Linked DNA regions of Saccharomyces cerevisiae S288C. The protein of the gene in region 2 binds, or shares a complex with, the protein of the main gene of each other region. Each region holds a gene or a part of one and is shown on either strand. Other genes may lie near its edges. The genes, in order: EMC6, EMC5 and EMC1. A codon is read from its position in the direction of its gene.

The links.
Region 1: the proteins of EMC5 (region 2) and EMC6 are in contact, whole or in part, in a cryo-EM structure (PDB 6WB9), measured with the Saccharomyces cerevisiae proteins. Residues at the interface, in NP_012237.1 of Saccharomyces cerevisiae: Tyr9 (codon at 1,058), Leu16 (codon at 1,037), Gly20 (codon at 1,025), Ser23 (codon at 1,016), Tyr24 (codon at 1,013), His27 (codon at 1,004), His28 (codon at 1,001), Lys31 (codon at 992), Leu45 (codon at 950), Met50 (codon at 935), Thr53 (codon at 926), Tyr54 (codon at 923), Leu57 (codon at 914), Phe60 (codon at 905), Val61 (codon at 902), Val64 (codon at 893), Phe65 (codon at 890), Ser67 (codon at 884), Phe68 (codon at 881), Lys70 (codon at 875), Gly87 (codon at 824), Asn88 (codon at 821), Tyr89 (codon at 818), Leu90 (codon at 815), Lys91 (codon at 812), Glu92 (codon at 809), Ile93 (codon at 806), Ala94 (codon at 803), Leu95 (codon at 800), Ala98 (codon at 791); in NP_013087.1 of Saccharomyces cerevisiae: Gln10 (codon at 1,541), Ile11 (codon at 1,544), Asn12 (codon at 1,547), Ala13 (codon at 1,550), Asn16 (codon at 1,559), Val17 (codon at 1,562), Asp19 (codon at 1,568), Asn20 (codon at 1,571), Arg23 (codon at 1,580), Phe26 (codon at 1,589), Val27 (codon at 1,592), Ser30 (codon at 1,601), Val34 (codon at 1,613), Leu35 (codon at 1,616), Val38 (codon at 1,625), Phe41 (codon at 1,634), Leu42 (codon at 1,637), Gln43 (codon at 1,640), Trp52 (codon at 1,667), Leu56 (codon at 1,679), Ile60 (codon at 1,691), Ile63 (codon at 1,700), Tyr64 (codon at 1,703), Trp67 (codon at 1,712), Ile68 (codon at 1,715), Cys69 (codon at 1,718), Gln70 (codon at 1,721), Gly74 (codon at 1,733), Lys75 (codon at 1,736), Phe76 (codon at 1,739).
Region 3: the proteins of EMC5 (region 2) and EMC1 are in contact, whole or in part, in a cryo-EM structure (PDB 6WB9), measured with the Saccharomyces cerevisiae proteins. Residues at the interface, in NP_012237.1 of Saccharomyces cerevisiae: His18 (codon at 1,031), Ser19 (codon at 1,028), Phe21 (codon at 1,022), Ser22 (codon at 1,019), Glu25 (codon at 1,010), Leu32 (codon at 989), Leu35 (codon at 980), Lys47 (codon at 944), Asp48 (codon at 941), Ile49 (codon at 938), Tyr51 (codon at 932), Glu52 (codon at 929); in NP_009884.1 of Saccharomyces cerevisiae: Leu248 (codon at 859), Ala251 (codon at 850), Tyr252 (codon at 847), Arg255 (codon at 838), Leu256 (codon at 835), Asn259 (codon at 826), Arg262 (codon at 817), Lys295 (codon at 718), Asn693.

What each region holds. Positions count from the first base shown.
Region 1 is NC_001144.5:119,809-122,310, forward strand, and holds EMC6 (Emc6p), read left to right. Parts: upstream 1-1,513; coding exon 1,514-1,840; downstream 1,841-2,502. Other genes in the region: ATP-binding cassette bilirubin transporter BPT1, read left to right, coding at 1-1,303; mRNA-binding protein PUF3, read right to left, coding at 2,267-2,502. UniProt on the Saccharomyces cerevisiae protein: Part of the endoplasmic reticulum membrane protein complex (EMC) that enables the energy-independent insertion into endoplasmic reticulum membranes of newly synthesized membrane proteins.
Region 2 is NC_001141.2:303,023-306,025, forward strand, and holds EMC5 (Emc5p), read right to left. Parts: upstream 1,083-3,003; coding exon 657-1,082; downstream 1-656. Other genes in the region: cohesin subunit IRR1, read right to left, coding at 1,455-3,003. UniProt on the Saccharomyces cerevisiae protein: Part of the endoplasmic reticulum membrane protein complex (EMC) that enables the energy-independent insertion into endoplasmic reticulum membranes of newly synthesized membrane proteins.
Region 3 is NC_001135.5:45,306-49,067, forward strand, and holds the start of EMC1 (Emc1p), read right to left. Parts: upstream 1,601-3,762; coding exon 1-1,600. Other genes in the region: MGR1 (Mgr1p), read right to left, coding at 1,806-3,059; protein disulfide isomerase PDI1, read right to left, coding at 3,348-3,762. UniProt on the Saccharomyces cerevisiae protein: Part of the endoplasmic reticulum membrane protein complex (EMC) that enables the energy-independent insertion into endoplasmic reticulum membranes of newly synthesized membrane proteins.

The DNA.
Region 1 (2,502 bases), on a different chromosome or scaffold from region 2:
GTTTTTGGTGGTTATCTATATTTACTATCAAACATTTTACATTGTGCTATCTAGGGAGCTAAAAAGATTGATCAGTATATCTTACTCTCCGATTATGTCCTTAATGAGTGAGAGCTTGAACGGTTATTCTATTATTGATGCATACGATCATTTTGAGAGATTCATCTATCTAAATTATGAAAAAATCCAATACAACGTTGATTTTGTCTTCAACTTTAGATCAACGAATAGATGGTTATCCGTGAGATTGCAAACTATTGGTGCTACAATTGTTTTGGCTACTGCAATCTTAGCACTAGCAACAATGAATACTAAAAGGCAACTAAGTTCGGGTATGGTTGGTCTACTAATGAGCTATTCATTAGAGGTTACAGGTTCATTGACTTGGATTGTAAGGACAACTGTGACGATTGAAACCAACATTGTATCAGTGGAGAGAATTGTTGAGTACTGCGAATTACCACCTGAAGCACAGTCCATTAACCCTGAAAAGAGGCCAGATGAAAATTGGCCATCAAAGGGTGGTATTGAATTCAAAAACTATTCCACAAAATACAGAGAAAATTTGGATCCAGTGCTGAATAATATTAACGTGAAGATTGAGCCATGTGAAAAGGTTGGGATTGTTGGCAGAACAGGTGCAGGGAAGTCTACACTGAGCCTGGCATTATTTAGAATACTAGAACCTACCGAAGGTAAAATTATTATTGACGGCATTGATATATCCGACATAGGTCTGTTCGATTTAAGAAGCCATTTGGCAATTATTCCTCAGGATGCACAAGCTTTTGAAGGTACAGTAAAGACCAATTTGGACCCTTTCAATCGTTATTCAGAAGATGAACTTAAAAGGGCTGTTGAGCAGGCACATTTAAAGCCTCATCTGGAAAAAATGCTGCACAGTAAACCAAGAGGTGATGATTCTAATGAAGAGGATGGCAATGTTAATGATATTCTGGATGTCAAGATTAATGAGAACGGTAGTAACTTGTCAGTGGGGCAAAGACAACTACTATGTTTGGCAAGAGCGCTGCTAAACCGTTCCAAAATATTGGTCCTTGATGAAGCAACGGCTTCTGTGGATATGGAAACCGATAAAATTATCCAAGACACTATAAGAAGAGAATTTAAGGACCGTACCATCTTAACAATTGCACATCGTATCGACACTGTATTGGACAGTGATAAGATAATTGTTCTTGACCAGGGTAGTGTGAGGGAATTCGATTCACCCTCGAAATTGTTATCCGATAAAACGTCTATTTTTTACAGTCTTTGTGAGAAAGGTGGGTATTTGAAATAATGACATTGATTATTATATATGAAGATATAGAACATTTAATGCGCTGCAATATGTACGGTCACGCCAATTCTTTTTCTTTCTATATGCTTTCTAGTAACCCGGGTAATCACAAATGAAGCTAGTAGAGATATAACTAAATACAACTTAATTTTAACCTTATGTTGGATTGCTCAAGCAGTGTTCGAGAAAGACAGCGGCAGACAGATAGAAATGAGCTCAAATGAAGAGGTATTTACTCAGATAAACGCAACTGCGAATGTGGTTGATAATAAGAAGCGTTTACTTTTCGTGCAAGATAGCTCAGCACTTGTTCTAGGGCTTGTTGCAGGATTTTTGCAAATCGAGTCAGTCCATGGGTTTATTTGGTTCCTGATTCTGTACAACTTGATTAATGTCATTTACATTGTTTGGATCTGTCAACTTCAACCAGGAAAGTTCTACCAAAGCCCACTTCATGACATTTTTTTCGAATCGTTTTTTAGAGAGATAACTGGTTTTGTCATGGCATGGACATTTGGATACGCCCTAATCGGATGAACATATAAGAACTACTTCTATAAACGGTTAGAAACAGGCTTGATTTATTATGTACAGTAAATATAATGTTATTTGTGTTTTTTTTTTTTAAATTTTTTTAGTTCCTTCTATGTAAAAAGACATGACAACAGTATTCTCAGTCAAATGATTTCAAATACACAATGTTAAATTCTCTATCTGTTGCAGAAATAAGAAGAGCGTAAGAGCGCAAAGATTTTTGCAGAAAAATAGAGATGAGGTACAAAAAGTAGGTAATGGAAAAAAGCAAATAATGAATATAGGGGAACATAAATGTTATGGACAAGAGTAGATATCAAAATAAAACAAAATAAAATAGAGTAAGTGAAAGACAAATGGAGGAAAAAAAAAAAAAAAAAAAAAAAAAAAAAATAGTAAAAAGTGAAAGGAGAACGATGATAACACTAATCACACCTCCGCATTTTCAACCAATGCTGCAAGTTTCTCAACACTGGCTAAATGTCTATTTCCTAGGGAGTTAGATTTGTTTAGTTTATCCAAATATGCTCTAATGGCAATGACGATCAATTTCTTACCCTCACCCTCAGAGACATTAACTAATTTTTGAATCACATAGTTGGCAAATTGATCCTTGATCATTAAAATCATTGGAGAATCGTCTTCCAGATTCAAAGCATGATTTT
Region 2 (3,003 bases):
CTTATAATAAACGCATACATGATATCATAACTGCCTTTATACGGCACCTTACAACTAGCATGGGCGTTCAAGTGGTGGAGAACTATTACCTGTTCCTGAAATAACAGAATGAATCATCAATAAGGGCTTGTCTGTACCTCAGGATGATTTGAACAAGTTCCACTTACGCTAACATGAGGATGAATATCGTACTTATACTATGTAAACTGGAATAGAAATATTCCGAACGGTTATCCATTAGAGTGTTAGCCCTCAAACCGAGACTCTCGATAATATTGAATAGAAGATTTTACCACTAAATTTAGTGTGTATTTATGTATCTTAATAACAAACTATCCAACGAAGACGCAAAAGATACTATCCGCCCCGTAATCCTTTTGAAACCACTCAAGCTTATGGTTCACGTTATAGAACACAGGAGACGCTTGCATTATTGGTGATTCTAATATAGCTTTCTATTCCTCTATGAAAGGCGTCTGTGTTGGTGTAAATAGAAGAGGTGCCTGGTCACCTGACGCCTTATTTTGTGCAGTTACGATGTTCGAGTAGATTCGCTATCGAATTTATGCTCAAAATCTAGCTAATCCTCTTATTAGATCTTGATATGTATATATGTATGAAATTATAAGTTCTAGCTCTAGTTTTCAGTATCTTATTTATTTTTCTTTTTTTACAGTGTTAGAGGCCCATTCCCTGCAAATTTTTCTCTTCATATGAACGTCAACAAAGCTTGGAGTAAATATGATCTCACCATTAGGGTTACTTCCTATCAAGTTATCCACGTTGGTGGCTTTATTTAATGCGATTTCTTTTAGATAGTTTCCTTGGGATATTATCTTCCCATCGTTACTCTCAATTGGTAAATATTGTAATTTCTCGAACGAAGTGAACACTGCAAGAACAAAGAGTATCAATCCTGCATACGTTTCATACATGATATCTTTAGGTAACTTGCTGATTGCACCTTGTGCATTATTAAGCGAGTTAAGTTTTAATAAGTGATGAAACTCATAGCTTGAGAAACCAGAATGAAATAACACCAATGCAGAGACTGTATAGAGAAGCTTGGAAACAAACGACATCTCTTGATAATTGCTTTTTTGTATCTCGGTAGGGCTTAATTACGATCGCTTTTTAGATGCTACAATTAACATGCATAACAACTATCTGAGTTGACTTTATTTTATATTCAAAAGTAGATTTTTCTGCGCTGCGTTTACATCGCGAGTTTTCGAAGAAGCAAAGGGCGCTTTGATGACGATTGAATGGGCTTGGAAAATACATAGCCGAATATCATCCAGCGAGTATAGTCTAATGCGAAGGGATATTTGAAGTATTTATGATTAATCAAAAACTGCTAACGAAGCTATGTATGTTCAAAAGAAAGATGTGATATATATTATAGATCTTATTGTTTTACAAAAGAGCAATAAGTCTGACGTATATCTTTTCCCTTAATCTTGTGTGATTTCGTCGCTGTTGTCTATAGCATCTACCACGGTTGGGTGTTCCTCAATTGGTGCTAACTCTGAATTATTTTGCGAACTTTCTTCAATAGGTTCTAGATCGATTGTCATGGGAATATCTGGATCATTATTTTCAGTATTTGCATGGTCGGTTTCTCGTTCACTGTTGGGTTGTAAAGGCGCTTTTTCCCTCTGTGTTTGATTTGATTTTGCTTTCTGTATGTTCTTTTTATTAGGTTCTGGATTTTCCATTATGGTATCATCTACGATTTTTTTGAACAGCGGGCCAAGCTTTTCTTTGTTTAGTGCCACACGGGAAGCAAATCGTTCATCTAAAATATTCAGTTTCATTAGTCCCTTCAATTTAACTGTGAATAAAAGGAATTCAGTTTCAATATTCTCGAAAAACCCGGTTTCCGGCAAATCATTTAGGTTGGCGTCTTCATCTGCTACCCTTTCTAATTGGACGTCAACTTGCTTAGCGAAAAGACTCTCCAAATATAAAAATATTTTCAAAAGCACTTTGGAAGCATTATCGTGAAGGTAAAATGGAAATTGTTCACTCATACTATATCTCCATGTTGTAGCGTCTGCAGGCAATTTGAGCTCAAATATTTTTATTGCAACGATTATATCCATTAATGAAGTGCAAGCTGACCATTTTAAGTAAAACAAGCTGTTTATGTTTTCAAATGTTTCGTTTGTAGCCGCCAATGAAATAACGAGTGTGTTTAGACGACCTATTATAGCGGCAATTGGTTTCCAAACTGATCTAAGATCTTTTGAAATAGAATTCTCGTAATCCCTTACTTTCTCTATTATTTCTCTCCATTTTTCCAGATTCCATGTGGCTAATAACACTAGCATTTTAAAGTTTATTTCTTGAGCGGTACTATCATCAAAATCTTGAAACATTATAGGGATACGGGAAACAAAATTGTTCAAAAACAGTTGCAACAACTCTTCATCAACCTCGATTGGGTAATCCCTGCCAAGAATTGTCAGTTTATTGATGTAGAGCTCGTACAAAGAACAAGTTAAATCTTTGTAGTCGTCCCTAGAATTATTTGGATCCATTTTTTCCTGTAGAAATTTTTTTAAATGAATTTTCAATGTAGCTATCTGGTTTAAAAATTTTTCCTGCAGTTCCTTTTTTTCAAAATGATGGATATGGTGAATGAATTTAGCAAATATATCGTACTTCATGTCAACTTTTGAATTCCCGATTGTAGAATCCATAAATGCTTTAATAGTTTTGTCGGTAATTTTTTTTAATTCAGTTTCATATCCAATAGATATCCAATCATCCAGAGAAAATGTGATAAAGCTCTCTAGGAGAGGACACAGAATATCAGCAGATTCGATGGATGCGGCATTCAACAAATCGTAGAATAAAGGCAAAACTATTTCCTTAACGCTGTCCTTAGTTTGGATTTTGGGGTTGTTGGCACCTGCACACAGACCGTGGAATACGTTCAGATATAAAATAGTGCTATTTCTGTCAATGGGAAACAATGGAGTGATGTCCAATTCCTCA
Region 3 (3,762 bases), on a different chromosome or scaffold from region 2:
CCATTGGAAACCTAAAATCCGGAGAATCCTTGTGCTCTTGGGTAATGAGGATTTCTCCTGTAATGGTATCAATTAAGTTAAAAGTGATTGTATGATGTTCTTCATTAGCGATCAGATAAGCCGCTAGGTTGGGGTACAAATATTTATAAAGAACCGATTTGTCACCTAGTGTAATACCAAGAGTGTTTAGGTTTGTTGTTTCCCTCTTGCTATATGCCACCATTTTCTCTTTCGAATTTACGGCTTTTTTCCAAGTTTGTTTTACCGTATCGTTTTCGATTATGTAGCCATAAATGCCATTCGTGTCATGCTCTGTGACGAATATGTGGGAACTAGAATGGTTGTTGGCAACTATTGGTACATCCGTATTCTTGCCGGGATTCAATTTGAACAGTAAATGATCCTTATCCTCAAACTTAATCAGATACTGGTGATCATGTTCATTCAGCCTAATAACGGAATCAACAGTTTTCCTTTCAGATAGGGGGGATCTTGATTTGATAATCGGTTGATCTTTAGTAACTTCAATTGTCAAATAATGCCCATCATGCGAAAAAACAACAAGTTCGTCATGGTTTTTATCCGTCCAGAACATTTTGACGCCCTGATCAATTTCTAAATCGAGTTTCCAGATAAGTTGGCCCTTATTGACCATATCAAGGCCGCCGATAAAGCCATCATGCGTCAAAACAATTAAGATTTTGGCGAATCCGAACTTCAAATCTGATACCGTGGTATCCTTAGCGTCTAGAGCTAGGAGTTTAGTGAAGACACGTCCTGGTGAGAATTGGTTTTCTTTCAATAAGTTGATAAGGCGATTCCAATTAGTTGTCAATCTAAGCCAGTAAGCATTCCAAAGCGAATTTGAATCAAGTTCCGCTTTCATATCTTTGTTCAACTCCACATCCCTAGAATCGAAGACGTCCAATACAGCATAGTCTACCACGTTAGTCAACCATTCATCTCTTTGCCAAACGGGGATCAATTCTGTGCCATTGGCAGAGAATCCCATATATTGGGTATCATTAACGTTCAACACTAACGCCAGGGGATCTTCACGATGAAAATATTCCACTTTATTGAACCCTTGAGGTAACTCCAATTTCCATTCTGCCAGTTTTGACTGCTCATCGAGAATATGTAGTTCATTGTTCTTAATAGATACTTGATCGTTTAAATATGAGGATTGAGGTAAAATGGTCGTAGAAGGGGCATTATCTACGCCTTCCTCTAGTAAAAACCAATCGTGTAAATCATATTTCTGCCAATGGTTGCTTGAAGAGTTCACACAAACCATTGCGTTATGGTCATTACTATCCAGTTGAATCTCATCAATGGTAAAGGGTAAAACGTTTCTGAAAAGAATCTGTCCGGAAGAAACGTTAAACGAAGAAACTAAGCAGGAAGTTTCGGTAGGGTTCGATAAGATGAGAACCCTGTTGCGGTCTCGAGAATCAGGGATGACTTTCTCCCAAGGACCTAAGTTAGCCAGTTGCCAATCAGTGATAAATGCATCATCTGAAAAAACGGCTTGGACACAACTCGTGTTTAGGAAGAGTAAAATGAAGACGTACACCAAGTCTGTACACGTTATCTTCATTGCTATGGGGGAAGGGGAGGATGAAAGTGTTGATATGAATGTAGGTATTAGTTATTAATGGAGTGTATATATATATATGTTATTATATATTTGCATATATAATATGAAATCCCAGCCATATTTTCTCTGGTAGCCGTCTGAAAAATCACGGTGTACGAAGAAGGATTTAATATACGCACGGTACAACTAAGCAATCCGCAAAGACCTAATGTGTCTTTTCATTAGTGAGAGCCTTGGGGGTAGGCCCTGGTAACGGCTGGTCCGTGCTAGTGGGTGTCTTGGTATGGGAGGGCATGGTAGTTGGTATGAATTTGATGCTTAGCGAAGTTTCTAAGGCCAAAGTCATCCATGGATCATAAAGCGATCTTATTGTATCGAGATCAATATCTTGCGGGCCTTTCGTGTCATGGGGCAAAATGACACCTCGGGAGAGTGTGGTGCTGGATCTCTTCTTTACTGGTGCGGAAATGGAATCTCCCGAAGATGCTAAGAAATGCAGTCTTTTTTCCACATTTTGTAGATGGAGTTTTTTGGACTCGGAAAGACCTTCAAGGCCAGTAGAAGAAGACTGCGGATTGTGGGATATGGAATTGATGAGTTCAATGGAATTTTCTCTAATGTTTCTTTTATTTTGAAAAAACTCGAACATGTCCAAGTGAAATTCCATGCGATTGAGGTACTCGTTGAAAGACATGGGCTTGTATTCCAAGGGTCCGAACCATTTAATAATGGGATTCTGCGCCTCAACTTGCGCTCTAGCGAGAGCGACGCTTTGTTTGACCTCAGGGATATTTGTCGAGAGAGGAGTACCGTTCATAGCATCCTTGACTTTTATTTTGGTGGGGTCTATGCCCTCGTGATAATATTTGACAATATTGTTGAAAAACTTCTTGTCACGTACGGATTTCATTTCGTCGCACCAGGGGTCGTATTTAAGAAAGTTCAGGCGAGTAAGCTCCAACAGTGACTGAGAAAGTAGCAAAGAGCCAAACAACCCCCATAAGAGCTTTCTGACGCTGACGAATCGAGATTGGCGAGGTATGATGGGAGGAGGGGCGAGCACAATGTCACCATGGGTGGTGGAGAAGCGGTTCAAAGTTGGAAAGTCAGCAATATCCTTTTTGATTTTAGTCTTGCCATTGACAATCATTTCACTGGGTAGTTCGCCAAAGGATAAATCCGAGTGAGTGCCAGTGGCAATGCGGCGCGGTGGCGGTAGTTTGTAGAGCCTTCTCAGTCTCCAAAGGGCAAAGAAACCCACTGCAGATTGGATAGTGATTAGAGTGTATAGTCCCGGTAGGTTATCAGGAGCGGGTACGAGCGGACCCCACAGTTTTAAGCCTAAACTTGGCCTTATGTAGAATTTCTTGATATCATTATCATCTTTGTCGTGGTCATCTTGTGTGTGAGTATGGTCGGTGGAATTGCTATTACCTGATGGAGGAGTAAATACAGCCATCTTTTATTACGGTAATTGGAAAAGGAGAGGGAATGGAGGAGGATGAGATAAGTAGTTTCCTAAGCAGTAAAGCAAGTGTCCACATTTAAGTAAAAGACGATGCCATGCACTTATTATTACTACGTGGTCAATTTTCTCTTTCCCTAAGGCGTTCGTGCAGTGTGACGAATATAGCGAACAACTATTGTGTTTGAATTTTAACGTTTATCTTTTTATGATTTTTTTAAAAAAACTTCCTAGAAAATTTCTTATATATCTCTATTTAATGAAAAACCAAAGTGATCAGAATTACAATTCATCGTGAATGGCATCTTCTTCGTCAGCCAATTCAGCGTCAGCATCGGCTTCCTCAGCAGCTTTTTCCTGGGCTTCTTCGTACAAGGCCTTACCGTCGACGTCGAAGTGACCGTTTTCCTTGATGAAGTCGAATAAAGAGTCCAAGGATCTTGAACCTTGGTACACAACAGATTCGGACTTCTTACCACCTGGGTATAAGACGATTGTTGGGTAACCTTCAATTACGACGCCTCTGACATCGTTTTCAGTGTGGTCTAGTTTAGCAATCAAAACGTCGGATGTGGCGTTGGCGTAGGTATCAGCTAGTTCTTGGTAAGTTGGGGCCAATCTCTTACAGTGACCACACCATGGGGCATAGTACAAAACAAGAACGTCCTTCTTTGGGTCGTTGACGATTTCGTCATGG